Linked DNA regions of Oreochromis niloticus. The protein of the gene in region 2 interacts with the protein of the main gene of each other region in a pairwise test. Links are inferred from orthologs where the notes say so. Each region holds a gene or a part of one and is shown on either strand. Other genes may lie near its edges.

Evidence for each region.
Region 1: the proteins of l3mbtl2 (region 2) and tbc1d9b interact in binary tests that used the Homo sapiens proteins (3 or more experiments, as listed by UniProt). The two-hybrid records come from large-scale screens. The link is inferred for Oreochromis niloticus from reciprocal best matches to the Homo sapiens genes L3MBTL2 and TBC1D9B.
Region 3: the proteins of l3mbtl2 (region 2) and stac3 interact in binary tests that used the Homo sapiens proteins (3 or more experiments, as listed by UniProt). The two-hybrid records come from large-scale screens. The link is inferred for Oreochromis niloticus from reciprocal best matches to the Homo sapiens genes L3MBTL2 and STAC3.
Region 4: the proteins of l3mbtl2 (region 2) and bend7 interact in binary tests that used the Homo sapiens proteins (3 or more experiments, as listed by UniProt). The two-hybrid records come from large-scale screens. The link is inferred for Oreochromis niloticus from reciprocal best matches to the Homo sapiens genes L3MBTL2 and BEND7.

Annotation. Positions count from the first base shown.
Region 1 is NC_031966.2:36,275,277-36,282,472, forward strand, and holds the start of tbc1d9b (TBC1 domain family member 9B), read left to right. Parts: upstream 1-4,170; 5' UTR 4,171-4,416; coding exon 4,417-4,525; intron 4,526-4,895; exon of another isoform or gene 4,896-5,303; coding exon of another isoform or gene 5,304-5,367; intron 5,368-5,676; coding exon 5,677-5,685; intron 5,686-6,273; coding exon 6,274-6,384; intron 6,385-7,196. UniProt on the Homo sapiens protein: May act as a GTPase-activating protein for Rab family protein(s).
Region 2 is NC_031973.2:22,453,113-22,460,697, forward strand, and holds the start of l3mbtl2 (lethal(3)malignant brain tumor-like protein 2), read left to right. Parts: upstream 1-4,568; 5' UTR 4,569-4,958; intron 4,959-4,964; exon of another isoform or gene 4,965-5,095; intron 5,096-6,018; 5' UTR 6,019-6,091; coding exon 6,092-6,442; intron 6,443-6,527; coding exon 6,528-6,633; intron 6,634-6,715; coding exon 6,716-6,849; intron 6,850-7,585. UniProt on the Homo sapiens protein: Putative Polycomb group (PcG) protein. PcG proteins maintain the transcriptionally repressive state of genes, probably via a modification of chromatin, rendering it heritably changed in its expressibility.
Region 3 is NC_031984.2:24,445,006-24,452,493, forward strand, and holds the start of stac3 (SH3 and cysteine-rich domain-containing protein 3), read left to right. Parts: upstream 1-4,393; 5' UTR 4,394-4,706; intron 4,707-5,357; 5' UTR 5,358-5,390; coding exon 5,391-5,398; intron 5,399-5,868; coding exon 5,869-5,947; intron 5,948-6,365; coding exon 6,366-6,522; intron 6,523-6,630; coding exon 6,631-6,728; intron 6,729-6,852; coding exon 6,853-6,913; intron 6,914-7,488. Other genes in the region: mbd6 (methyl-CpG-binding domain protein 5), read right to left, coding at 1,345-1,460. UniProt on the Homo sapiens protein: Required for normal excitation-contraction coupling in skeletal muscle and for normal muscle contraction in response to membrane depolarization. Required for normal Ca(2+) release from the sarcplasmic reticulum, which ultimately leads to muscle contraction.
Region 4 is NC_031972.2:55,932,414-55,940,246, reverse strand, and holds the start of bend7 (BEN domain-containing protein 7), read left to right. Parts: upstream 1-4,824; 5' UTR 4,825-6,045; coding exon 6,046-6,109; intron 6,110-6,706; coding exon 6,707-6,784; intron 6,785-6,869; coding exon 6,870-7,223; intron 7,224-7,419; coding exon 7,420-7,539; intron 7,540-7,616; coding exon 7,617-7,833. Other genes in the region: prpf18 (pre-mRNA-splicing factor 18), read right to left, coding at 1-52, 137-208, 293-433, 1,200-1,268, 1,443-1,589, 1,760-1,873, 1,994-2,095, 3,669-3,695 and 2 more.

The DNA.
Region 1 (7,196 bases), on a different chromosome or scaffold from region 2:
ACATGTATCGCAAACCACGTCTCAGCTGTTCGTGGAGGTAAAATACGCTCAGCCATTGTTGTGAGTGCGCACGCCAAGGGGCTGCGAGACATTTATACAGCCGTATTTCGCACATGACTATGAAAGGTGGAAGAGGAAGTAGTTCCTTTGAATTTAGACAATCCGAATGGTATAGTTTCTTTCCACTGTGTTCCTGTTAATGATAAACTGCAAATGTACCCTAAATTACTAAAATATCGATATTTTAATGTGAGAATCGATTCTAGAACATAAATGACTGGTATTGGAGGAATCGATATTTAAGAGCACGCGCATTTTTGGCGGTCCGGAGCTGTAGGGGAAAAACAAATGAACTCAGAGACACAGACTGATGCGACAAAACCAGTAAGCAGGTGTACAGCGCACACTGTAGTCTAAAGCACACAGGAGTATTATTACGTACACTGTAAAATCTAATTAGTTCCCAGAACTCAAAAAAATTGAGGAAACTCGTTGCCTCAAAAAAATTGAGTAAAGCTTAGCTATAAATGACTAAGTTAGGACAACTTATTTATTTTGAGTACTCTGTACAAGCTCATTTGTTCCCAGAACTCAAAAAAATTGGATCAAGTTTACGTAAGATGACCAAGCAGGGGTGGATCTAGAGAAATTTTCTTAGGGTGGCAAGAGGGTGGCAAAGAAATCAAATGGGGTGGCAAAATCAAGGCTTTTTTTTTCAAACACATATGCAGGTGGTTACATATGGTTAAAATGATTCAAATGCAGTAAGTATACACGTTTTTCATATAAATATAGTCTATAACTTAATTATTGTCTGTAGCCCTGTCAAGAGATTTATTCTAAAGACACTTCTTCAGCTGAGAGTCTAAGGGTAGAAACACACAGACGCTGTGGTTTTCACTTGTATACAAGGGCGGTCACAGAACGCTCACACCAGAGTGGGGGCCCTGTGGTGCGCACCCTGTTACCGGTCTTTATTTATATACAAAGCAATACTACAGTGAATACGTCTATTCATAGGCAGAGGAATGTTAGTGCGTAGGGAGTGAAGATAAGAGTGGTTCAGGTGTATGTGTGTGTGTTGTGAGATTCAGAAGGACGCAGCCCCTCTTTTTGTTAAGGAGCGCAGATAAAAGTGTCCAGCTCTCCTCTTCCTGCTTGTTCAGCTATTATCGCAGTGAGAAAGAATTTATAAAACAGTCTTGTAGTGGACAACAGTCTTAGTCATCAAAAGGTCAACATACAGTATTCTATCATATGCAAACTTATATCATTAAAAGCTTATACTGACTACTAAGTACAATTTTCCATTGACAAGCCCACATAATTAAACACTTTAGTTACATAAAACGTGAGTTTTGATCTTATGTACTGTACAGCCTGTATAATAAATAAATATGTAGCCCAATGAGTATAAAACCCAGAAAGTTACACAACATGGGGTGGTTCATTTACAAACACAAGTCTAACTTAACTTTCACACTGTTTTTTGTTAGAAAACAATCAGATTGTTTGATGCTTAAATTACACAAAATGTCAGAAATCTGCACTGTCATGAACAAAAATTTAAACCTAATTTTTCATGATTTGTTGGATTAACCCACTGAGGTCTGAAATACAACCGGCCATTTTTGACTCCTTTTGAGTTTACGTTTGTATTTCACCCTCAAATTGTTTCATTTTATTTTTTTCCCCTTGCCTTGTTTGGTTTCATTCTTTTCAGCCTAACTGAATTTAGTTTTTTTTTTTGTCACTGACATATTGCATTAGTATTACTGATCTGAAATCACACAAAGAACTTAAAATCCTAGTAGTATCTTTTTACTGTAAAAAAACCCACAGACATGTTGAGTAAATTTTTATAACTTGAAATGCAAATATAAAATGTACATTTTGTAAACATATACAACTATTTATCTAAAAATGCAGCCAATACACCTGCCGTTTTTTTCATTTTGTACAACCATTTAAAAATATTACTAAAACTAAAATGAGAGAACAATCAGGTGTTGCAATAAGATGCCCCACAAATGATGTGTGCCAGTAAAAAAAAAGTTTGTCCACCAAAAGACAGAGGAGAACAGCACAGGGACAAACCTGCAGGCCTGACAACAGGAGGTGTATCACTCCGCTGGTTTTCTACTTAGTGACAGTGTTTAAGTTGCAAATGTGCCTCAGTGACATTCATTAGTGCCCTCACTGACACACAAAACAAAACGACTACACAACAGAACAGCACAAGACAACACAACACACTAACTGTACACTCCACACTAAACGTCACAAATCTCCCACATCTAAAAACTCTCTCTCTCTCTGTCTCTCACTCGCTCGCTCTGTCTCGCTGCCGTTACCGTCACTCTAAAAACTCTCCCCTCTTCCTAAACAACCAAATCCCACGTGTTGACTTTTTAAAAAATTGGTTGACATGGTGCATTTTTCCACCGATAGGAAAGAGGTGGCATTTTTTCCTTTCTTTACTGTTTTCGCGCTGTCCTTAGAAAACGCTTAAAACACACACACACACAATTATCATAACTCTGGATTTACTGGCCTGTAATTAAAATTTAAAAACTTTGAAGTCCGAACTTTCAATGTGGGCTGAAATAGAGACTCAGCGTGGCTGCAGCTTGTTGCTATGTCAGCTTACATCAGTCATGTGATTTGGAGGTGCAGCGTGTCCGTGGACCACAGAGGGTTAATAACACTCACCTTCCTTCCATTTCCAGAGTGTAACATCCAGAATCCGAAATTCCCATGGTGTTGTTCAAAATGTGCTCTGGCACAATCATAAGCATCTCTTGCTACTGAAAACAAGAAAAAAGCCGGTCCCTGCTATGGGCTGAACCATTTGTTTATGGTGGAGGGGGGGGGGACACTATGCAATATATTCAGTTTTAGTATTTATATTCACTGTTGACTGTAACTACGCTCAAACTGTTAATGCTATCTTATTTTAATAAACAACACTGCCATATGCAAAACTGAGGTGGCACTTGGGGTGGCAAGGAATCATTTTAGGGTGGCACTTGCCACCCCATGCCACCCTTCTAGATCCGCCCCTGGATTCTTGATGAATGTGTGTTGTTGTTATTCAGCCTGGTTCAATGTGCCCCTTTTTAGCTTTGAGCACCCGCCCCTATAAACGTCTCTGCACGGCCCTGGAGAGGTGGTTGGACTGACCGCGGTGGGGGAGAGGTATGGCTCTGTATGCATGCTTGATGTTGGAGTAAACACGATATAGAGTGTTCTCTCCTCTGGCGGGACATTTGACATGCTGATAGAACTTTGGGAGCAAAGTCTTTATGTTGGCCTTATTAAAGTCACCTGCAATTACGTGAACACCGTCCGGGTGGGCCTGCTGCTGTTAACATGCTGGGAAATGATCTGATCTGATCTTTAGGCGGCACTAAATGACAGAAGTGCATGTACAGGGGTGCACATAAGTGGTCCGCAGGTGCGCATTCGCTGTCAAAATAAAAGACGCGCACCAGATAAGAAGTTGCAACATGCTTTTGCGTACATAAGATTTTCTGGAGGAGGACAGACATTTGTTTAGAACTCCTAAATATGTCGAAGCAAGCTCCTTTAAGCAATTACTTTGGTGTTCCTCCACCTCCAAAGAAATGTCAGGAGTCCGAAGCGCAAAAGAAGCCTGCAACCACTTTTCCGAGAAAAGTGGTTGCAGGAGGTGAGCTGGCTTCAAAGAAGAGCTGGCTTCAAAGAAATGATGAACGCACAGAGATGTGGTGCAGAATATGCCGTGAAAATCCCACTCTAGCGGACAAAAACAGTGCCTTTTATATGTACGCAAACGCGCGTTGCAACTTCTTATCTGGTGCGCGTCTTTTATTTTGACAGCGAATGCGCACCTGCGGACCACTTATGTGCACCCCTGTGCATGTATTTATCTGACACAACACCTCTGACACAGTCCCTGAATACTGGAGCTCCTAAGTTCACGTGTGGGATCGTGTAACCTATCACATGACTGTGGGGAAAGCTTGAACGTGGCTTTGTTCGGCTTTTTCTAAATTACATTTTCTTCTCCTGAAATGTAAACTTTAAGCGGTGTTTTGGTAAAATACATTTCACAGCCCCTAACCCTGACAACAGCGCCGCCTGCTGTTTTTTGCTTTAACGTTTCATAAACTGCAGACATGTGGACGTCATGACGCAGCGTGCGCAGGGGAGTGGCCTGACACCCGGTAGTAATGTGCAGTCATCAGACTGAGTGAAAACAACAACATCAGCTCGATGTTTGCGTGACTCTCGCGGAGGCTTCAGCGCCTTTTCCTGCCGTTTCCCCGGGGGAGAGACAGCCCTCGCACGCCGACACTCCGGCCTCTGTCCCGCTGACTCCCTGGCCTGTGTTCCCCTGAGCGCCCGGAGGAGGGCCTTCGGCAGCGGGCAGAAATGTGGATCCACCCGGAGGAGGTGCTGCTGGCCGGGGCTCTGTGGGTGTCCGAGCGGGCGAACCCGTTCTTCGTCCTGCAGAGGAGGAGGGGGCACGGCCGCGGAGGGGGCTCTCCGGTGAGTTGGTATTTCAAACATTAGCTCTGCGGCAGATGGAATAATCGATTAGTGATCGATAAGCTGAAAGTTGAAGATCCGGGGGTGTTTGCTGTTTTGTGAGTGGGTGATCTGCGGGTTAATCAGGCACGAGCAAAGATGGAGGCAAAGTTTGTCTACAGGGTAAAAATGATTGGTTTGAACTTTAGCACACATCAGCAAATTTCCACGTGATTGAACGTGATGCTGTGCAGCTAACCCTAACCCGGACATCACCGTTAGCTCACACAGTGCTGTAAAATAACTGACGTACCAACATGGCTGCTGAGTGACCTGCACACTCAGCCCACATGCTGCTGTCTGTTAGATTTTACTGCGTGGATGTGTCTGAGGTGGAGCTCCTGAAGATGGTGTTCATTCGTGGTGTGCAGAAAGTGACTTGCAGTTCGAAAACCAGCTGACAGGAAGTATGATTCATGGTCTGACTGCAGGATGCAAGAAAGGTCCTCAGGGGTCAGCTGACAGGAGTGTTTACTGTCCCAGTAATCGAGTTTGTTGGGTTGAAAAGTCACAGTATTTTTAAAGAAGTGGGGGTGGACAGGTGTGAGGCCATATACAGTGCTGGGGTGGCGGGTCGTTTCATCATCGCAGCAACGTGAGGAAGAAGGCCCACTGTCCAAGTGAAGCGTAAAGAGAAGAATCTGTCAGCTTCAGAAACAGAGAGGTTAGAGTTTAAAAGGGCTGAGCAGCTGTGGTTCAGCCTGCAGGACGACGACGAGGAGGTCTCACTGATGCTGCCACAGGGAGGTGCAGCAAAGCCTCACATGGAGCCTGAACATGGAGGAACAATCAGAGGTGAAGACCACACAGCAGCAGAGACCCACCCTGAGCTGAGGTCCGTGTGCTCAGTGTGGAGAGGATACTCCACAGAGTTTAGCTCTGTTCGGTGTCGTGTGATGATCTATATGTCGTAAGTGGCTTAATTTGTAAATACAAAGAATCTGGTTTGACGTCTAATCATCATTCAACATTCAACCAGAACGCCTCCTACATGAGGTGTTTCCTGTCACACTGGGGGGGGGCTGATCCGGGACACACTGAAGACTCTCGGCTGGTTTGACAAGGCTGCAGTAACGCCCAAGACAACCTGGGGCAGGTGATCAGGGAGAACAGGTGTGTCGCCCTGCAATGTATGTGTAGCTCAATGGGAGGCATGGCTCTCATAGAACGATGAATTCATATGTACGATATAACTAATTAAAACTTTTGAGAGTTTTTAAAATTGCGTTCAGCTGGTGGACATGTACATGTGGTCACCACTGAAATGATGAAACAATGTGTCAGAGTAACGACCTGGATGCTGCTGGGATTTGGTTTAAGTCATTAAATGAATTATTTAATAGGTTTTCATGTGCGAGTCCACCTTGGGAACCAGACCAATCAGGGCCAGCGATTGCAGCACCATAACAGTTTGACAGAGGACCAGTCAGGTGTGACTTGCAGTTAAATCACAGACAGGAACCATCAGCTCTGTGACCATCTCTGAGACTCGGACCGACTCGGCTCTGACGTGTCCGAGCTCTGCCTTCAACATCTGTTCAGTCAGAACAGAACAAATAACTGTCTCCCAAAACCAGAACCGTGAAGGTCTGGAACAAGAAATGCTCTCTGATATGGTCCAAGTCCAGAACACCTTCAATCCAAACACTGATCAGATCCAGATAACTGCCCAAGTTGCTTCACCTGTCTGTCTCTGTGCAGGTCTCCTGGTTGGGACTCTGGATGTGGTTCTGGACTCCAGTGCCCGGGTAGCACCGTACAGGATTCTGCTGCAGACTGCGGACTCTCAGATCTACTGGAACATCGCCTGTGGTGAGTGGGCCTCGCCGAGCTACGAACGTGAATGCGGAAAATGTCATTTCTGTTCATGTTTACAGGTAAACGTGTAGAAACACAAAGGCGGGAGTCATAAAGCAGAGGGCCGCTCTGATGCGATGAGCTCGAGTTGATGCTTCCAGCAGTTTAACTCGCAGCCTTCGACTGCTGCTGTTAAAGATCTCTAACATAAAAAGTTGCTTGTCATTTTGGTGTGACAGTCACCATCCCCGAGGTGAGGAGACTCGCTGAGCCAGCTCACCTGCTGCAGAGCTTAGTTCAGTCCAGTTTTATTTAAGAAGTGTGAAATCTCAGTAACAGCTGCCTGGAAAAAGCTTCATACTGTGAAGTAAGAACTCTACAATAGCTCAACAATTAACAGGTGTATTTTCCCCAAAGCTCCTGTTGGCTGGTCTGTTCCCATGTTCACTTCAAAAGCATGTTTGTTTGCGATGTCACTGCTGCCGTCACACTGTCACATGAATGCTGAGCTCAGTGATCACTGCCTCTGAGAGCCTCCAAAGAGTTCTGATGCATGAACCTCTTGTAATGACCTCCACTGTGACCTCAAATAGATGGAGAACATTTTGTCCTCAGTCTGCACAAAATATCTGCTGCCGTCGCTCGAAAGGCCTCTGACTGTTTCCTCTGGTGAGGGGGAGGACAGAAACTCACAAGTTCATCGTCACTGAGGTCGACACCATGGGCTGAGGATGTCTCCTGTCCAAAGATTGCCCAGATTATCCTTAACTTGATGATATCATAGTTGGACTGGCTGTAAGCACATTGCTTAAATTCAGTTAACGTAA
Region 2 (7,585 bases):
CAGCCATTGTAGCAAGTGGCTGATTACCTGGTTGTGCAGCAAGCCTACAACCAGCTAGCAGGAAGGACCAAAGTTAAGGAGGAACTAGGAAGGTGTGGTACACCTTTACTGGTGAGGCCCATGCTCAGGGGTGAGCTATGGCTTCAGATCAATAGTCCCCTTTAAAAAGGAAAGAGCCGCTTGCTGCTGTCCAAAGGCTTTATTTTGTTGGTTGTGGCATTCAGTTATAATCTACATTGAAGACTCAAATGCAGGTAGAAATAATTACAAAAATTAAAAGTAACAATACCCAACTATGGCAACCAAATAGAACATCAAATAACAAGATTCAAGACTAACAGATAAGGGTTAACAGGGTCCCCTCTCTATCCAGGCCTGCCGGAAGGGCTTGTCAATGAGCTAAGGATGAACAAGACACATGAACCAGTCTTAAACATCAGTTGATGAAATTTTTTTATTTATAATATGTTTAGAAACAGTAGTTAACATAGGATGGATCTTTAAATCTCTTAGATGAAAACAAACAAACAAAAAAAAAAAACAGCAGCCTCAGGGAGTAGAAAAGCTCCAGGAAGGTTTGGCTTTGAAACCAAAACCTTCTTCCTGTGAGGCAACTCCTCTAACCACTGCACCATCATGCTGGTGCAATAGACTGTCCAATGAAACTTGTGATAATGCATTGAAGGCTTTCTAAACTAAAGAAGAGTAATTCTCCAAAAGTTGAATCTGTTCATCTGGACGTAGCGTTTTGTGGGAGAAACGTTTCTCCCACAAAACGCTACGTCCAGATGAACAGATTCAACTTTTGGAGATTTACTTTCCTGGATGATTGAGAATGCATCAAGACATAAATAAGAGTAACATTTTCTTTTTCAATCTTACTAAGCATAGATAGTTTCATAATGTTATGCCTTGAAGAAACAGTGTAAAGATGTACTTTTTAAACCTGAAGCCTTTATATGCTTTATACACTTTATGCTTTATATATCACTCAGCTGGTCATCTACTAATTGGAAGGTTGGTGAGTCGATCCCTGGCTGCTCCAATCTCCAGCCTGCATACCTAGATATTCTCGGGCAAGATACTGAACCCAAAGGTGCTCTGTAATTCGTTCATCACAGCATGAATGTGTGTGAATGCTAGCTAGAAAGCACTTAGGTGCAAAAAAAAAAAGTGCTGGAGTGAATGAGGCATGTATAAAGCACTTAGAGTGCTATATAAGGACCAAGCCATTTACCATCTTTTTGTACCTCAAAAAGGTGCACATAATTATGAAAAAGAATAATAAGAAAAAGGGTAAAAACTACTGCATTTATTCCATATTCAGGAAGTAGTTTTTACCTTACCTTTAGGGTCCAGTAATGACTAGTGTGTAGAGATTGCACACACTAAGAAAGAAATGCACTTTTACTACACCTGCGATTTCTCAGAGTGTGGGTAACAGTAAGGCAGATGTTCTGATAGCTGAAATGTTCTTCTGCAATTCCAGAATGTGCCATTTTAAGTTTGTTCAGGTATGTTTCATGAATCAGAATCATAGTCATCTTTGTTTCTTTGCTATGTGGCCATGCAAAGAAAAAAAAGTTCTTTTAAAATATGCAGTATACATATATGATAGGTAAAAAGTAAGAAAAAGCAAGATACGGAATGTAGTCAGTATGTTCAGCTATTAAAAATAGTTTAGTTTGAGATCTGTGGTTTGCCTATTTGCTAAAAACCCCCCCAAAGCAAAACGACAACAACAAAAATCTCATGAATATTCTCTAAGTGTGGTCATTTGATCATTTTTCATATTACTGCAAAACTAGTGGCATCACCATCTGTTAATGTTAGCTAGATTACACATTTAATTACCTACATTTTCTTTGGGATTAAAAGATTATAATATTGCACGTTTGTTAAGAAGCAAAACAGCAGGCACTACAGTACGTTAAAGTACCAAGTCTTAGCGGCAATTTGAGTACACTTACATTAGTGCACGAAAACTTGATTAGATCTTGTTTAATATTCTGTAGAAAAGTCAAAGTCCAAAATTTTCCTCCAATTACATTCAGTTGTTATCAAGTATAAACAAATTGTTCATTAGCCCGATCAGGTCACAGGGTCACCAAATTCACTGGTCCTATTTTAGATGTAGCTTCCAAACCATCCTGTTCCACAATAAAACCGTCAACACATTTTAAAGGACACACTTGCATTGTGTCCTTTAAGAAGAATTCTCTCCAGTTTCCTTACATACCGATCACAAAGCTCAAGAAAGCTCCCTAAAACTTTTCAGATATTGCTCATAACTCCTTGTGTTTGTTCTTTTGAGTAGAAGGTGTGGCATCATTTGTCTAATCCAGAGTGTAACATTCAGTCTTTGTGCATTTAGTCATTTTATTGTGGTTAGATTCTGCAAGACTTACATAGATGTTCGCATTTACCAGTTACAGTGTGTTAATCTGAGGTGTGAATTCACTGTTTCAGTTGCAACACAATTTCCAGTCTTCTGCTGCAATGTCCGTTTCTAAATCTTTGCTCCAAGTATTTAGATTTTATTCTGACATGATGTCTTTTCTCAAACACTCCTTTGTAAAATAGTACATTTTCATAGGACTCTGTGAAAAACTAAGTGCGTCTCATGATTCAGCAACTTGTAAAACCACCTTTAGCAGCAATAACGTGAAATGCACACTTTCTGTATGACTTTGTCAGTTTCTCACATTGTTACAGAATAATTTTGGCTCACTCTTCTCTCACTTGCTCTCTTAAGGTGCAACATTTCAGGCTGAAGTCTGGCCTTTGACTTGTTCACTCCAATACTCTGATACTTGTTGTAGATTTGCTGGAGTGCTTGGGATCATTGTAATGTTACATGACTCGATTTGAGCCAAGCCAAGCTAGCTGTCGCACAGATGGCCTCATGTTTGACTCTAGAATACTTTGGTACATTGAGGAGTTCATGGTTGAGGTGCCCAGGTCCTGGTGGGTACAAAACAAGCCTAAATCATCACCCCACATTTGACAGCTGGTGTGAGGTGTTTGTGCTGATATGCTGAGATTCATTTTGGTCAAATGTGGTTCTGTGCATTATGACCAAATATCTCCACTTTGGTCTTGTCTGTTCAAAAGACATTGTCCCAGGTCTGTGATTTGGTCAGATGCAACTTTGCAAACCTAAGCCTTGCTTCTATGTTACTTTTAGAGAGTAGGCAACCCTTCCAAAGAAGCCATACACAGTCATCTTCAGGCTTTTTCTAATTGTACTGCGACAAACTTTATAGTTTAGCATGCTACATGCTAAATTATAGCATGCTGGAGGCTGAGATGTAGCTCTTAGGATTTTTTGCAGTTTCTCTTTTTTTGCTGGGACATCCACTTCCGAGAAGACTCTAGCATGGTGTTAATACTCACCTGAATGATCCAGACTAGCGAACTACCAAAACCTCATCTTACGGATGATCAATTAATCAAGTAGCAAACCTGACTGCTACTTATCCTGTTCATTTCTGTATTAGCAATAGCGGTATACTTAGTTTTTCACAGGACTGCATACAGTCCTAAGCAAATTTTATTTTCTTTAACATGACTTTGCTTTAATGTGGTTTAACAAAACTTCTCAGCTGTCAAAATTATAAGTAAATACAAGTGAATTAATATAATTTTTAATTTTAAATATTTCCAAGCCTCCCAAAACTTAAATCTATCATCAGTGTCAGAGCAGCTGTACCTGTGACTGCCAAAATATCTTGTTCATCAAGACATCCCTAACTGAATACATTTGATGAACACAGTGTCTAGATTAAGAAACAAAACATTATATATTTGGTTTCGTTTGTGTGTTTATTATGATTGAAGTAAATGTGTGTCACCCTCTTCTTCCTCCATACTTCCTTTTGGGAACCACACTTGTGAATATCATCACTTCAGCAGCTACTGCCAAATCACATTCAAATGGTTCAAAATTCAATTCCTCTGAGTTTTATTTTTCTTATTGATTTAGTTTAGCAGTGGTTCCTTTTGGGGCAGTCACCACGAGGAATGATTCTTCAGGGGCTTCTCCAAAAAGCTGATGATGAGATGTTTCAGCTCTGAGAAGCACAGATGGATCCTCTATTCTAAGGTGCTTTCTCTTTAGTTAGTTAAGCAGTTCTTGCAAAAATATGACTAAGTACAGTAGCCAAAAAATACTTTTTGCTGTCTATCAGCACTACTTAGGAGCAACACAACTCAAAGTCAAGAAATTTCACCAGTCAACCTTTAAGCTGTTATGTCCCACCAATACTGACTCAACACAAAATCAAGGCTGACACCAGATTTTTTCAGAAACACATGGTTTTTTGGTTGTTTTGGTTTTAAATCATTATACATTCAAAGGTGAAACTTGCAAGCAGGAGAGTATTACAGCATCCAGCGTGAAGTCTGCCTTCATCCACACCTTGTCAGGTGATGCAGATAACTAGCAATTAAGCCCGGGCAACGCCCAAAGTCTACTACACTGCCACTGCAAAGCCAGTAGGGTTGCAAGGGAGCATAACAAATCTCACATGTTACGAGAAAAAAAAAAATGACTGCCTCATAGAGGTATTGCCATTTGTTGTCAGCGCTGAACCCAGCAGCGGTTGCTTTAAATATTCTAAATTACAAAACATATTTTACTTAATCTGAAGTTTGTATATTTCGCCTCATCACTGGTTATGTTTATTTATTTTTCCACACTGTGCAAAATCTTAAGATTAACTATTGAATAGCAAGGTGTCCGCAAACTTCTTTTTCATAGACCGATTTCTTGCAGACCACTAAAACATCTACTCTACTGCCATTACTCCAATTAGTAACATTTTATTTTAACGATTATCGAGTGAAACCAGCGTACAAACACCCGAATGCCTCTAAAATGACTTATTTGTGACCAGGATAGCGACTTTTTTCCAATTTTCGTGAAAACATCAACTCCCAGAATTCCTTGCCCACGCGTAAGTAAATGACGCTAAAATGTGAGCGACCACATTACAGTACCGGGCAACTATGAAGCTACATTAAAATTTGATACCCAAATCAGTTTGTACACCTAAGAGACATTTTACTGAGTGCCAGCATTCACTTACCTCCCGTAAGTACACATTTGAAGTCATGACGAGCAAAGTGCAGCTTCATAACTGCACACATGTACTTTTAGCATTGTTATCATTTAGCTTTGGTGTACAGTAGTTACACTGTATACGTTTTGACTCAACTTATGAAGCAGTCACCTGTAACCTTGCTTTAACGGCGATATTAGAAATAATAATAACATTGATGAAAGGACCGCCTTTTCAAGACAAACTTCTGTTTGTCATGTTTCACTGTCTTGTGTTTGTTAAACATTATGTCGACATTACAGATAAAATAAAATGCGAAGCTTCCTGTTATTTTAATGTAGGTTTTTCAATGCAGAAAATGCCCTAATCAGGCAAATAGAGCCAAGACACACTCTCCGGCCACTTTGTTAGGTACACCTTGCTAGTAGTGTGTTGGACCCTCTTTTGCCTTCAGAAGTGCCTTTATTCTTCATAACGCTGGAAACATTTATCAGAGATTTTGGTCCATATTGACATGATGGCGCCACACAGTTACTGCAGGTTTGTGACTACGGAGGCCATTTGAGTACAGTCATGTTCAAGAAACCAATTTAAGATGATTTGAGCTTTGTGACATGGTGTGTTATCCTGCTGGAAGCAGTGATCAGAAGATGTGTACACTGTTTTCAGTGAGGTGGAAATGGTCAGCAGCAATATTTAGGTAGGTTGTGCCATCTTAGCGATGCTCAGCATAGTTTGGTTGCAACGAGTTGTGCTTTTCTGTCAGGTTATAGCACTCTGGGAATTTTTCTTTGACCTCTGGGATCAGAGAGGAATTTTTACCTAGAGAACTGCTGCTCACTGGATATTTTGTCTTGTTTGGACCGTTCTCTGTAAACCCTAGAGATGGTTGTGTGTGAAAATTAGAAAACCAACTTCTGGTTGGAAGATACAGTTATTTCTTTTCTTTGCACAGCTCAGAGAACAAAACAGCACAACTGAGAAGAAGAAAGGATCCATGAAAGGTGGTCATGGTGTAAGCTCCGAGGATGCCTTACCACTGTGTGGCTTATGGATGTGGAAAAACTACTGAAGATGGTGTAACCCTGTTTAAATTCCCCAAGGACCCTGAAGAGTTTCGGAAATGGGAGAAGCAGGTCCAGCGCACCCGCATGCAGTGGGTTGCCACACCCAATTCTTACCTTTGCAATGAACATTTTGGCAAGGAGTACTTTGAACCCAGACTGGCATCGGGGCCTCTGAAGCTGAGGCCAGGAGCTGCTCCTACAGTGTTTGTCCGTCCGCACTGTCCTTCCTGCAATGGCGCGGGCTGCAGTAGCTGCCTGCCTTCTATCCAACACAGGACCATTACAGCTGAACCAAGCGAGCAAAGCATAAGTGTGAGTAGCACTTATTTTGGATCGTGGGTTGGGGGGTATTACACCTGCTGTTTACAGGTGGGATGTTTGTTTATTTCCTTCATAGGCTGGATACAATGAAATGGCACCCCTAGAGTGTGAAGATACTAATGAAAGAGGTAAAGAACGACATCTGACAGGAGGAGGGTTAAAGGCACTAAACGAGCGACCAGGTGAGGTGCACCTGCACTCTTAACAATGTTCATAATGTTTTACATTAAGAAAAAACTTTTTTGATTGCATTTTTTTCCACAGTGGTTTGTGAGATGTGTGGAACAACCGGGAATATCAACAACTTCTATTCAAAGACTAAGCGCTTCTGCAGTACATCCTGCTCTCGTTCCTATTCATCAAACTCTAAGAAGTCATCCATTCTAGCACGTCTGCAGGTGAGAAAGAGTTTGACTTTTTTAATATATTTATTTATGTATTTTTGAACACTGGGGAGCACCAGAGGAGCAGTTTGAATTAGCTGCCTTGCTTTATTCAATATTCCATCTGGGGAGTTTGACACAGTCAGTGTCACTGGATTGGGCAAAGAGATGTACTAGTTTTTCCATTCGTGAGTGTGTCGCTCAGCAGCTCAGACAGGTGTGGAATTGCTTTAATTTGTTTCAAAAACCATAGAATTATCTAAAATCCTGTAGTAAATGCATGAACGGCTTCAGCAGGCTTCTGTCTTGGACTTTGATTGCCACCAGCATGCTACTTTCATTGTCCAACAAATGTCACAAATCTTTGACTTATTGAAAATAACTAAAATCAATCGCAGAAAATTCACTCATTTTAAAAGCTGAAACTATGAAATGTTTATTTTTTTTACTGGGATTTTGGCTCTGTGTCTATCGTGGGGGAAATAGTTATCTGATCCCCTGCTGAATTTGTGAGTTTGTTCACTTCCAAAGAAATGAATGGTCACACCATCCCTGCAGTCAAGCATTGAAGTGGATTCGTTGTGCTCTGGGGCTGTTTTTCTGCAAGGAATACAGGGCAACTTCACCGCATTGAGTCAGCAATGGATGGGAGCATGTACCGTAAGCTCTTGAATGTGAACCTTCAGTCATACAGAACACTGAAAATAGGTTTTCCAGCATGACTGTGACCCAAAACCAGGGCAACAAAGGA
Region 3 (7,488 bases), on a different chromosome or scaffold from region 2:
TATGGGTCTACATCCATACTAGCCACTGGTAGTGAGGTTCAGCAAAACTAGGAGTAAGGTGTCAGCTGATAAACATAAACTACTTGTGCATTTTTCAATTCCATCATAACATTCATGCAGTTTGTGTTTTTTTCCTGGTTAGAGCCACGGGGAGCTAATGGAGAAGGGCAAGAGAGCTACAGGCTTGAGACTCCCAGTCAAGGAGTAAAAGTTTCCCTCCTGACTGTACGAATGTGCAGAAGATAATTATTAAAAAAAGGTTTAATTCAATCCAGTTCAATGACAGAAACCACTAGTGTCATCTGCAAACACTGCTGACCCATATGAGAGTCTGAAGGACACAAATCCACTCCTGTGGTGCTTCTACACCTGTAAAATGCACAAACTGGCCCAATAATTAAAAAATATTCCATGGAGAATTAGCAACATATAGCATAAGTTCCTGTGAATCGTTAAGTCTCAATCAGGGTATATTTGAAAAAAGGCAAAGTTTCAGAGTCTTGCTCCAGGGCTGGGGTGTCTGGCATTAGATGGGTTATTAGTTAGTAACGCAGGTTATGGTTAACATTAAAGTGAACAGTTAATTTCAGCCAAGTTTCTTTCCAACTCAGTGGCTAAAAAGTATGAGTAATGAGTAATACAAAATTTCATATTTATAATGTCATATTTTATGTCTAAATTCAAGCATGATCCAAACCACTGTTCAACAAAAATATTGGTATCCAAATGAAAATACTTTTTTCTCTGCCTCAGCTACCCAGTATTTTAAGGCAAGGGGAATCCTTTCACAGCAAAAGAAGAGGGCAAGTGTGGAGTGGAGCACACCTGCAGTAAATCAAAGAAGTCTTTAGGTGATCTTCAGGATGAACGACTGATAACAAAGAAAAAAATATGTTTCTCTTTGGTAGAAACAACATAATATATATATATAGAAAGCCTAAATCTGTCAGTTGCTTTTGAGCCCTCACAAAGACCTGGTATGCTTGAATAGATGAGTATTTAAAACTACCAGAATAAGAATAAATAGAACCAGAATAAGTGCTCCCCAGAATAAATAGAACATTAAAATGAATACATTTAATTTTACTCGCTTTGCACTTCCTAAAAAGTGCAAAAAAAACCATTTTCTTGTCTTCTTTGTTGTCTATAGCTAGAAACAAACTTCAAAAAACGAATCCAAAACTGCAGTCATCCTGCCAGGTAATATCCCCCAAAATTTGTTGGCAAAACCAGTACTGTCATTTTTCAAGAATACATTATGTAACAATTATTCATGGTGTGCTTTCAAAATCTGTTGCCCAACTATTAAAAATCAGCAAGTTCATGTGTGTGGAACCAACGTACCTGACATAGAGTACCTGCCCTCCTTCCACTCTCCTCTGCCAGCCGATGGGGACGTGTATTGCAGTGGTGTGGACCCCATCCTTGTCCCCACTGACAGTATCACTGCCTCCCATCATTTTGTAGCCTGCCAGCACCTTAAAAAGCAGGAAGTGTTAACACATCTTGTCTTTTAACATAAGGAGGGGGGTAACATGAAGGTATCATGTAGTAACAGTTCAGCCTGTCAAGAGTGGACCCAGGGACTCTGCTTCTAAGGAAAGTTTAACCCTTGTGGTATCCCCTACTGCACAACTTTACTTAAGCACACGCGAAAAAACATCCAATGCTAAAAGGGGGGAAACAGTTGTTTAGTCTCAGCATCTATTTTGGGTTTCAAGCCATCTATCCTGCCCCCTCATCCTGCTATCTCTACATTATCCGGGTTGTCAAGGGTATCTATACTAAAGCCTCCATGAACCAGATGCTTACTCATCCCCACCACTTTCATCTGGGACTTTTTGGAGTCTAACTGGAAAAATAGTTCAATTTGTCATGCTTATGCTACAATAAATTTTGCTCTTCTCTTCTGAAAGAGCTTTCCTCATTTAACTGTATATTGTGCAAGTATCAGGGAAGTTCACTAAGCCTGAGTGAGTCACTGAAAAAAGTAAACACAAAAGATGGGTGAATGTTTCTGCAGTAAAGATCTTGCGATCATTAATGTTTTATTTCAACCAACCTGCATGCTTAATGTTGAGGTCACATTCAGCTTATTACACAACATCAAATATCGATGTCGGATATCAAACATTACAAAATGTACCCTATGCGTGGTGATGAAATCAGCCAAGATCTGAACTAAAGTAAGCAGCATGAACAAGGGAAGCACTGCAAATTAATTCCACTCTACTAATTCAGCATCATTTCCTTTACTTTTTAGCTATCATCTGTGTGTCAAAAAGTTCTGGGAAAGTACCCTGCAGTTTCTTTTCTTATGTCTGTGCTGAAGATAATACAAGCCCCTAGAGAATGAATGTGATGTAAACATGTTGAAAAGGGGGAGTGGCCACAGCAAAAGAAAGGTTTTTGGTTTATTATCAATGTAAAAGTAATACCAAGACAAACAAAAAGAAAGTTGCATACCTTGTCATCTTTGGGAAGCCAGGATCTGTTTTGGCTAGAGTATCCACTGTCCAGTGTACATGCTGGTGGGTTAGAAGCACACTGCCAGTAAAACCTGACTTGCCCAAACACCTCGACTTTCTTCAGCTATGAGGCAGATCCCTCACTTAAAGGATGACTCCTGCAGATTTATTAGTTCAGTTCACATCAGAGTAGGGATGTGGGTGAAGGTGGAGAGCCTGCAAAGAAAGGTGGAGGTGGATTATGTAATCTGGCAGCGACCCCCGCGGTAAAGATATCGTGCAATAAACCTATTCTGTAACTGATATGATCTAAGCGTGTTTGAAAAACGACTACATCAGATGTATTAGTCTTCTCCAGAAGAACTTCAGAGTAAGCTCTAGCTGCTTTGAAGTAGAAGGGTGTGTTTGCCTAGGCCCGTAGTTTACTCAGTGTTTAGCGACAGTATAAGCAGCTGCAACAACCAACTCCGAAGCGAACACCCTGGCACATGAAAGAGCAATTAATATAGCTCTGAACTGATGTATCCTTTTTTTTCTTAATTTTGTATCATAAATTGCGTAAAGTATGAAAAAACATCCCACAAAGTACACGGCTCATACACGGCAGCTAGCGTCCAGGCTAACAGCTAGGCTAGCAAGCTACCCTACTTTGTACTGTGTTGTCGTGACAGCTGTCAGGCGCACAAAACACTCCAATACAAAACTCTTGCCCGTTAGCTGCAGTAACAACATACGACCCACGCACAATACCGCGTTGTGAAAAAACCTCTTATAAATCGGATACCTACATCACACTTTACTTATTGATATCCGTTAGCTAACGTCAATAGTAGCAGGTCCTACCAACCTTTTCTCTGCGTCAGGCTCTGTGTTGGCGAAGTTTTGGAGTCTTGGCTTTTCTGGCTCGCGGGAGAATCAAGAGTTAGCTGGCTAGCAAACGGGCTAGCCAGATAATGTTTTGAAAACGGCTGATACTTTAATAAATGAGCGCAAAATAAGTCATTGTGTAATCCAATTCCCGCAGCGGTGTGCTCATTCAGCTCTCAGCATTCATACAACGTCTGCCAGTCCGACTTAAAAACAAAGGGCAATAACGCTTCATTTTACTGCGCCTGGGATCTCGGAGCTAACGCTGCAACCAGCTAGGCTAGCTAGCCAGTCAGCTAACTGACTGAAATTTACTTGATTGTGGAGTGTCCCGACAAGACTGAAGGATGTCCCGCTCCCGGTCTGCAGCTATCCGGCCGTTGTTTTGCTTTCTCTTCTGCTAAACCGTGGAGCTTTCAAATATATTCCGACAACCATAACGGCCCATGTAATCCCCAGTTCACAGTTGCCCACTGTTTTTTTTTTCTCACAAATTCCGAGCAAAAAATAATGGAGTTTTTACTGTTGAGCATGCGCATTAGACGCTTAAGGAATATTGTACCCGACATGCAACGGGACCTTTGTAGTGTTCCAGACAGACCTGAATGAAGCTGTGTTCAGCTCCTTGACAGAGGACATGATAATGACAGAATAATAACATGTGTTCACTTGACAATAGTGGATTCACTTCCGCCTGTCTACACTGCATTTGTGGCCCATATCACGAAATTTAAATGAAAAGTTAAACATACTCTATCCATTAAGGCATGTACATATATATATATATATATATATATATATATATATATATATATATACATATATATCTGTAGTAAAACATAGTAAGGGGCATATCATAACTGTATAGCACAACGATAATAATAATTAATATGCACAGAGATACAGCATGATATGGAATGCTTGGATGCTTAGCAGTGTTTCTGTTGTCTGTGAACAAGTGGGACAAGGGGAAAGAGATGTATTGAAGACAGAAGGAGAAAATGTATCTGATTTCCCCCCCGTCATCGGTGCTCAGTCCAAGGTCCTCAGCTGTTGCAAAGTGTCAGCTTGACATAGGACCGCTAAGCCTGGCATGCACACAAGCACACACCCAAAATCATAGATACACAACTCCAGATATACACTCAAACTACAACCTAAAGTCACTTTGGAAAATATCTAAAGAAGACAGAGGGACCAGACTTTGTGACAGCCCAGCATCCCGAGGGCCTGAAGTGAAGCTGCTTTGTAACATACTGACCATACAGGGCTCTGGTCATTGCCAGCAGGTGAAAACCCATTCACTGAGATTTTGCCAGCACACCGGATTTATGATTTCTTCAGTGCGATCTGTACAAATTTAGACAAAAGGTAGGTTATTGCTGTAGTTTAAAGAATGTTTTTAATGGAAAAAAATGTTTGTGCATGACCTGTGTTATAATCACTCAGTTTATTTGAATTAATTTGAGTGAAGTTCCATTAGTTTTAAAACACGAGCTAAACAACCCCAACTCTGAGATTATCTCTGTCAGTTTACAAACTATGATTTTTTTTTTTATTTCCATAACATTTTCTTAATTTTTAGTTGCTTTTTTCCTGGCTGACAGAGGCAGCCAAATTTAGCTGTGATGAGATTAAATTTCACAACCCTAGAATAGTATAGAAGACAAGCACATTCTAACACTGTGTGGATATGCAAGTGCATGTAGCGTTCACACAGACACAGAAATATATTTTCTATTGTATTACCATATTTGATATTTTTTTAAATACATTTTTAATAAAAAACCAAATGCAGGCTTATTTTCTAATATTTCTTTAAACTTCCCTCTAAGAAGTTCAGGAATATGTATTTGATTTTTCACCTACTTTGAAAACAATTTGACATAATAGTGCATATGGGCTAAGTCATTCAAAGTTTTGAGTAAACAAATAATTAGTAGAACATTCTCTCATGATATCACTTTTATCAAACTGTCTCATCTTTCGGGAAAAAAACCCACCTAACTGTTCACTTTCTAGGTGGGGGTGAACTGACGCTGTCTACATCAAACCATGGATCCGTAAGTATAATTCTTAAAATCAATATACTTGCCTCTTGATACTCATTTTATTGGCTTGGTTGTAGCACTTCTTTACCATTTAAGTCTTAATTCCATTTCCTGTTTACTAAATACTGAAGTAGCCCATGCCAGAAAAATATTCTGGAGCATCATCTGTGTCTAAAGCAGCTCTATGTCCACTTGAAAGAATGTGCGGCAAGGATATCCTTAAACAAATTGAGTCGTATATTAAATTGCCACGATTCTACTATTTTAAGGTGGAATGGGAGTTTTACTTTACTTGTGTTTTTTTAAAGTTTGTTTATAGGCAAAACCTTTTTCCTCGCTTTATATGCTTACATGTTCCTTTAGAATAAAAAGTGATCATAATGTTGAGAATAAATAAAATAACTATCTATAGTCGCAGCAGTTAACCTCACTCATGGCTGTGTGTGTGTGTGTGTGTGTGTGTGTGTGTGTGTGTGTGTTAGGGACGATGACAAAAACTCTGTGGATATCCATGACAACCCCCCAGCTCCTGACAATGTAGTGAGGGAGGACGGAGACACTGTGAGTGACAGCACCATGTCAACCCCCCGCCATTAGCAGTGCCATTCTTGGGCTGTTTAAAATAGCCACCAACTGGGACAGGGTTGCAGTGCAGCATCAGCTGGAAACAATATGAGCTTAAGTGTCCCTGTCTTATACAACCTTATGGAAAAAATGAGCACTGCTGGCTGATCTGGATTAGTCATCGAAATGTTATTCACTAGGTCCTGAAAAGCTAAATGTAAGACAGAGATCAGGTACCAGCTGATAAACAAACAAGGCAAGACACTAATGTAATACTTCATAATACTGTGTGACATTGACACTGGCAGCTCAGTATGTTTAACATTTAAAAACTTTAATAACAACTTATATAACAACTCTATCACATGTTTGTTGTTGGGGGTTTTTGTCTGAGATATGTCCCTTGGGTCTGCAGGTCTATTTCATATATGAGGAGGAAGTGGAGGTGGAGGAGAAGGAACCAGAATCTCCTTCAGAGCCCATCGTCCGGGTCAATGACAAACCCCACAAATTCAAGGACCACTACTGCAAGAAGCCCAAGTTTTGTGACGTCTGCGCTCGCATGATAGTCTGTAAGTGCTGTTTTTTATATTAATGTTATAAATAATCAATCATCATATAATCCCATAGGTATTTGTTCTAAAGATTGAGACTGTTAATTTTGGTTCCTCATCTTTCAGTGAACAACAAATTTTGCCTGAGATGCAAAAACTGTAAGACCAACATCCACCACTCATGTCAGTCGTATGTCGAGTTTCAGAGGTGTTTTGGCAAAATTGTGAGTTTGCTGGTGTGCACTGGATATGAAACTATATCTGCAGTTTCCTTTTACTGCCCTCGAGAGTGAGAGAGATATATTTTTTAAAACTTTTATTAAAAACTTTTTTTCTTCTTTCCTGTAGCCACCTGGATTCAGAAGGGCCTACAGCTCCCCCCTGTACAGCAGTGACCAACCAGACCCAAGTGAGTCCACTGAATCTGGCATGGCAATATATCTCTTGTGTATCTAAATTTCTTAACCTTAAATTCAAGGCTGCTACCGCAAAGGAAACTAAGCACGGTGTCTGCATTTCCTCTTTAGCAACACTTACGATCATTATATTTGACAAGGTGCATTTAAATATTTTTAAACTTAAACATGCTTGAAATGATTAATTTAATGACATTTTTAAAGAACAGTGTAAAGCAGACGCTCAAGCAACATTCTGACCTTTGTGTTGGGAAATAATATTTCTTAGAAAAACAGCAGAATGTATCAATGTCACTATAACACTGATCCTTTTATCCCAGTGCTTCATACATTTAGTTAACACTAAAATAAGAAACCAAGTAAAGTGAAACAGCAAACTCTTTTTTGTTTATTTTCCCTCCGTAATTCACATTCACTTACCTTCACTTTGTTATTTCCCCTGGTCCTTCGTGCAGCAACTGCAGTGGCTCCAACTGCTAAATATTAGTGATTTAATAATAAGAAGAATTTATCACAAAGGTCATGGTAATTTTAGCATTTTAATTCTTTGATTTGTTCTTGTTCCAGG
Region 4 (7,833 bases), on a different chromosome or scaffold from region 2:
CAATTGGCCAGGGGGCATTACCAATGGCCATCTGTAGATATGCATCATTTGCCTGAAAGACATTTAGGAAAGTTTATAATGGATGCAAAAATAACTTTGCAAAAATAACAACAGAGGCTACATGATATTATCATACCTTGACATATTCTCTCTCCAACATGAATTTTATGATGTCTGTGATTGACTCTTTGATGTCAGCTTGTAAGTTCTGTAAAAGATAATGATGAAAAGTAAATCCACACATGAAAGAACCACGCACTATAGTTTGTTTTGCTCCGGTCACATAAGTTACCTTCTTCCTGAGCTTCCTGAAGAGAGGCTTGAGGTAAGACTCGGTCTGCGAGTGTGTCGCACTGGCCAGCTTGCCCTGAACGCTGCGCTTCACGTGGTCCTCTCGGCTGTTCAGATCTTTGGCCCAAACGCCAAGAAGAAACTAGAGTCCAACAACAAATATTTTCTTTGAGGAAAATGTTTCCAAGAAATGCAGCGGTAACCAACACTAGACAAATATCCATTATTTGAACCACTTCAAAAAGAATAATGGTGCGAAAGGTTAAACTTTTTTAACTATGTAAACATATAAACAGCAGCAGGTATAGTAGTATGACTTTTTTAAATTTTTATAATTAATATTAACCCAAGAGCTCCCTGTAAACTAGGGGTGTCAAACGTAAGGCCCAGGGGCCAGAATCTGCCCCAAAAAACACACCAATTAGCCCCACTGGAAAGCTTTGGAAATTGTGAAGGGTATAAATTTGTGGAAATTTAACTTTAGTTTTACAATTTTTCCTATTGATCTAGACCTCCCCTAGAGTTAAGTAATAGATATACATTGAAATGAGAGAAAAGCTCCTGTTTTTCACCATCTAAAAAAACAAAACATTTTCTTTAAATTAATAAAAACTTTTATTAATAGAAACTCTTTTATAAATACTAGACAATCTGTTCCATAAGCTCACAGAACTTTTTCTACATTTATCATGTAGAAAAACTGAGATGCACTGTTCAAATGCTTCTTCTTTCCTTACATCAAGTCATCTCATAGACTACATATGTAGTTAAACGTCTTTACACTGAGAGAAAGGGGCTTTTCACTCGTCTGTCCCACTTAAGATCAAAGTGGGCTGTATGTGACTCACGGTGTGAAATACGTTTGACATCCTTGCTTTAGATCAAAAGGTCAAGCATGAAATTCTTACCCTCAAAAATTTAGCAATAACATCCTGGTCTCCATCATCATCACCTGTTCCAAGAGTTTTTCCAAGAGCCTAGGGGGGATAATTTCATTATTAACACAAAAACACCACCCACAAACATAAAATGATTGAAAAAAAACAAAAAAAACCCCAAACAAACTGTGCCCAAAAATTGATCTGACAAAAAAGAAAAGCTATTTAATAACTGGAGATTCATTCTTTCTCCTTGGACATTGTGCAATGTACCTCAAGTTCTTCTATTGTGGTGTTTTCTTCGTGCACTTTTAGGTCATGCTGTGTGTCCAATTCTCCTGACTCTGTTCCTCCAACAATCTCATTCAGGTACTGCTGGTCAATCTTGTCCATGGCGGCTTTCAGATCATTCCTCAAGCCCTTGGCACAGTTAAAGCAGCAAATATTATTAGTGTCACTAAAATAAATTCAATATGTCCTTAATACAATCAAGAACATTAGTAGTGACATACAATTTTCCAGAGTAGATGGAATAAATGTGAATTTCAACTGCATGTTTTTTCCAAAATCCAGTTAACTCTCAATCCTACCTTGTTTACTTCTGGGGCCAGAATCTCAATTTTCCGGAGCCTCTGGAAGGCATCATAATCGGACTCGCCAAACAATCGGATCGGTTCCCCTCGTTCTCTAAGTCGTCGAATAACCTACACAAACACAGTGATGCAAATCAAATATTTATACACTTGGTGGTAAGCAAAAGAAATGTTATGATATTTAAAGGAAAATGAATTAAAGGAAAGTGCTGATGTTTTATACTGACTCACCTCCTGTCGTGAAAGTGTCATTGGGAGCTTCTCTTCTGTGAGCTCCAGTTCCAAGACTGGATTAGTTGAAGTGGATGGCTCATCTTCCTCTTTCTTCTCAATCTTATGGACAAAATTGAGGGAATAGAAATACGCCAGCATTATTGGAAGAACATTAGGGCAATTTGGAGGATCTGAATTTAATCTAATCTTCCTTGGCCAAATGGCAAATAAAACTACTACAAAAAGAGGGGGGGGGGCATTGGCAATTTCTTCATGAGCTGAGACCTCATGACCAAAGAGACAAAAAGGCATCAACAAAATAAGCAGAACTGCAAACATTCACACCACTCCCTTACCTGCAACTCTTCAAGAAAGACAAGTAGCACAATAAGTTACCAAAAAAAAGGAAAGAATATAACAAATAGTACATCAACATGATAACTTTCGTGGCTGTAACATCTTATGTGTGATTTAGGCTTCTGCGGGAAATCTACATCCTAACTAACGACGCAACCGGAAACCCCTGTTAACCCTAGCCGTTGCGGGCTGTGCTGACCTGCTGTGTAGTTACATCAGATTACATGCAAGGTTACAGCATAGGGTTAAAAAGTGTTTTTGGTTACATTGTAAGTAACAAGGTCGATTTCCCAAAGAAGTCTAAATCACCCATCAGGCGTAATCACAGGAAAAGATACTCTGTATTCTTTGCACAAAGAAACTCAAAATATACCCAAATCATGCTTTAAAAGGCACATGCATGCCAGCACTCTTAGATTGTGCTTTTTATACCACAATCTAAAAGAACAACCAGCAAATGGTGACAAAAAGCCTTCTGAGCAAACAACAGCTCTTTCGCTTTAAATAAAACATAGTACGCTGCCCGTGTACAAAGAGAATGGCTTAATGAGCCAGGTTTTTAAGCTTTACACAAAGTATAACATAAATACAATCTGCCACTGAGCAGCTGTTAAAATGTCACGGCAAACAAGTTGCACACCATAATTTGCTTAAATATTAAAAGCTTCTGTCACAAATTATCTGCAAAAATAAGAAGCAGAGCTTGATAACAAAAATACTTTTCCATTTCAGTACATTATCCCATGCTGAAATCAACACCGTGGCAGTGTCCCACTTTTGCTTTGAAGCTTCCTTTCCGTGTTCCTTTGCTTTCTGACAAGTGGCTGTAATATGTAACTAGCCTGGCATAAGGCAAAGCTGTGATAATGACTGTGGCACATATAAATATTTCATTTATATGACATTTAAACTATGTTGATAATTTGGAAATGACACAGTTTACCATCCACAGAACGCAGGTGAGTTTAAATCAAGCTTTAAAATGCTTTCATGTTATTGACTAAAATTTTAAAATCACCTTGAAAAGTCTAAATTTATCCAGCAGAAGTGAGCTGGTGAATATTTCCATTTGTGTACAGCTGATATCCAATTATTATACACTAAGTTACTACTAGGTGAGTCCAGGCATCCTGTACCAAAATATCCTCGTGCTTGTGTGGTTATTTGTAACAACCAGAAAATGTGCCCTCCGCTACGTCTTTTCTGTTTTCATCCCAACAGATTTCAGTAAGAACTTCCAGAAAGGATGCCTAGGAAGCATGAGCGTTTAGGACACAGTGTGTTTTATCCTTTTATCATGCATCCTGTTGGCTACTTTCACTGTGCAATGCCATACCTGGCTCTCAGGAGTCTCTCTCTGAACCTACAGATGCAGGCAGCAGAGGCAAATTGGGGAAAAACACCACAGTAAACACAAATACAGACACTGTTGTACACCTGACCATCAACACCTGTCCTTATCTTTTTTGCTGGCAGAAAGTTTACTCGTTATTTTGTGTCACACTAACCAAGCCAGACAGTGAATTAAATAAGTCTGAGTGTCTCAGGAAAATCGAGAGAGTGAGAAGCAGAGTGATGTTGACATGAACCTTGTATCCGCATCTTCTGAAGTAATCTTCTCTTTCCTTCTGTGAGAGCTCAGCCCTTTTAAAGAATCTTTTGGAGTCCTGAAAAGAAAAGAAAAAAGCAGGTAAAATGAATTTATGCTATCATATGATATCAATATCATATATTATTTGGTGGTGGTGATTGGCGGGGGTATTGTTGATACAGTGGTACAGGTAGGACGTTATGCAATAGATAGCATGAGTTTGAGATGAATTTGAGCTACGTGTACCTAATGAACTGCCATGTGCCCCTAGCTCTCCCTAGCTTACTTATGTTTGCATAAAAAAATTATATGTTAGGATGAGTTTAAACGGCATAAATACCAGAATTTCTGCTTAAATCGTGATACTATAAAGGTAATGTTCTGTTACGTAGCAGCAATTACAATTCGTAAACTACAGCTCTGTGTTTAGCTTAATCCTAAAGTTAGCTTTATATTCTACTGCAGATGGAGTTCAGTACTTTATAGATAAAGCTATCGATATGGATGAAAAACGATCATTCTAGAAATACTTAACTAGCCTGGTTAAACGACGTGTTAGCAACATAGCCAAGCTAACAATAACAAGCAACTTCGTCGAATACTTACTTCAACAAGATTTTTTTCTTCGAGGAGTTTCCTCTTTCTTGCGATCTCAGCTTTAAGTATATCCATCTGAAAGGTTTATTCTAACAAAAAACGGCACATTAAGGTCAGTCTGCGTTTACCCAAACGTTAGAAACACGATTGCCTAAACCGGAAGATAACAAGAAGCTTTTCAGAATTTTCAAAATAATTGTTTCAAAATAAAAGCATTAGAACACAATGTAACCTGTGTCTAATGAATCTGTTTTTCAGTGAATTTAAGCAGACACCAAAAGAATAAGGTCAAACAGATAGAAGAAAATAGATACTCCTTTATATATTATTTTCTGGATATGTATGCACACTAGTTAGCCAAACATTGGGCTAACCCAACAATTAAACCACTGAGTTGTGGTTATCGCAACACCATGTTCTGCTGTGAAACATTTGGATCCTAGACTCTTACCTTGATAATTGCAACCCACCAAAACAGACCAACACCATTTCCAAAACACTACACAGTAGCTAATATTTTGAGGACAATGACGGGGCCCAGTCAAGCTCCAAGCCCGAAAACCTCTAAACTCACCACTGTGATCCCACTGTGTCAAGCATCAAAATGGACCGAAACAGGTTCAATCCACAGATGCCCCAAGATCCTAAAAACTGCTGCCAAACAGGGAAATCTGGAAAAAGGGTCAACACTTAGGGGTGTTTGTTTTACGTATCTGGCAGTTATGCTCTATACTCCAAGAAGGGAAGATGAAAAATCCTCACTCAATCTTTTTTAAATCCTCCAACATCTTTTCTAGATTGGTGATAAAGAAAATTATAGCGAAAGAGACTAAATGGCCTTCACTTGTAATAGGTGACTCAATAGTACTTCCTATATTTTCTGCCAGTGACTCTAGAAGTACACAGTTGTTATGACTGGAGGAGGAAGCATGATCCCTTTAATGCACTACAATAGATTTACAAAGATATCAACCACGGTAAACACCAAATACCTGGTAACTGAGTTATTTGTTTCTCCTTTCAGTCAAACAACGTTTGGCTTTTGGCTCTTTTTTTTCATCTACAGTAGCCTGTAAAATGAAGTCCTTTTAAAAAAATCTCTAAAGTTTGTTTTTCTGTTTCAATGCTGTTTGTGTTTAATACCGGTTCACAGTTTGGACACCACTAGCAAATGTCTGACTCGACCTTTCAGATGAGAACATACCATCAGGTGGCGCAAAGGGATATGTGACGATTTTTTAATATTAAAGTCATTAATTTATTTACATGACGGAAGCCAAGAAGCAGCATCATGCTGGCAAAGGGAATGGACTGTAGAATACAACTGAACGGGTCACTTTGAGCTTAACACTGCGAATATTTGCGAAGAGATGAGAGAATCTGTAGCGCAAGCAGGAAAGAAATTTAACTGATTAATAAGGCAGACGGACAGTGATTCCGCTGAGTGTATCCTAGTCAGTGATTTCGTCCTCCCGAAGAGCGAATATTTTTCCACTGCACGACTTACTGGATATTCCACCTGAAGATGGAGTTTGGAGAAAGGAAGAGGAGAAGGAAGTCGCAGAGCTTTAAACTGGTCACGGATGGAGGTAAGCTGCTGAATGAATGCAAGACCTTGCAAGACGCGCGTCTGTGTCTGGGTGTTTGTCTGGCGCTGTGCGCCAGCAGAGACGACTCTGTAAACAAAAGCGATAGCCGCGACAATGCCCAGTCTGTGCTTCGGTTTTAACCAGCAGCTAACTCTAGGGATTCACATCTTGCATGTAAAAGAAAATAAAAGAAACATCCTGGACATCAGTCTGAACGCGTCTCATTCCGGGTAGATTTTTAAGACTGAATTAAGTAAGCAAATTGAATAAAATGTGAAAATATATTGCGCACTCTGAGCTCGTAACAAGGAGCTTCAACTGTGCACTTTTTGCTTAAGCTGTAAGGAACACACCACCTCTCTTGACTACACTACTTCATACCACCTACAGGTGGTGGTTTTTGCATGGGATGGGGTGGGGGTGAGGTGGAGGGTTCTGCTTTGGCAGGCATCACAGCTCATTAGCCCGCACAAGCTTCAACCTTAGAAGGCAAAAGGCCGCAATATCATTCTATGACATCTGTCACCAAGGTTTTGTTGCGTTTCTTTACAGCTGTGCTTCATAACGAAACCATTCTTTTTTTTTTTTTCTTTGCAGATTTCGAGCCTTCATATGTGATTAACTCCAGCTCCAAAGATGCCAATGGGGAGCCAAAGGATGGTGTTATGTCTGATGGTATGTGGGATTCAGAGAATGAATTTTGATTATATATCATACAAGATGTCGGTAATTACATGAGCACCATTCTCTCTTAATGTAGTTTGGCTGGAGGATGAGGGCATGGAGATCAAAAGACAAATCACAGGAATGATGAGGCTTCTGAGCGATAAGACCAGCAGAGTATACCAGCGTGCTGGTACAGAGCAGGATAGCTTAATAAAGGAGCCCCAGGAAAAGCCTCTGAACTGGGTAAATCAGCCTGCACTTTTATCTCTGGTGTCAGAGGACCACCAGAGCAACAGCTGGAACTCTGCAGAGGACCCAGGGCCTTCACCTTCATCCATATCCATCCCAGTCCCAAACGGCCCAGGCTGCGGCCAGTACAGCACACGCTCCAGAGCCCTCAGGATTCTCAACAGCACAAAGGATTTAATCAAAGTGAATGAAACTAATGGTAGGATATGCATGTTTGAAAGGAGAAAACTACTAAACAAACCTTAAGTTATTTGAAGAATAGTGAATTTCATTAAATATTGAGTGCTGAACACCAGAAGTGGCTTACACCTTTGTTGTTACATTAAAGCATGTTTGCACCTGTGTGCATATGTTAGAGTGAACGAGCGCTAACAAATGCATCCCTCATTTCCCAGCAGATGTAGTTCCTCCTACTGTGCCAGAAACCCCCTGCTGTATGTGTAACTGTAAGGGCACCTTGCAGGCTATTTTGCAGGAACTACGTGCCATGAGGAGGTTGATGCAGACTCAAAAAGGTTAGTAAATGAATACCAATACACACCCTAAAATAAAGAAATAAAACACAATATAATGTTTTTCTGCCTTTTAATAGCATCTTTAGAAAGGCAGGAAAGGGCAGCACCACCATCTCAACCTCGCCTAGGTGCAGGACCCAGTCCTCGCCACAGACCTCGAAAGAGGAGGCCAATCTATAGGATGACTCCGTTATCCGTGTTTAGCACCAGAAGAGCTGGTCTTGCTCCTCTGGATGCATCACTGCTAAAAGCTGCACCTATGGAATCTGTAAAGAGGCGAGAATGTGAGAAACA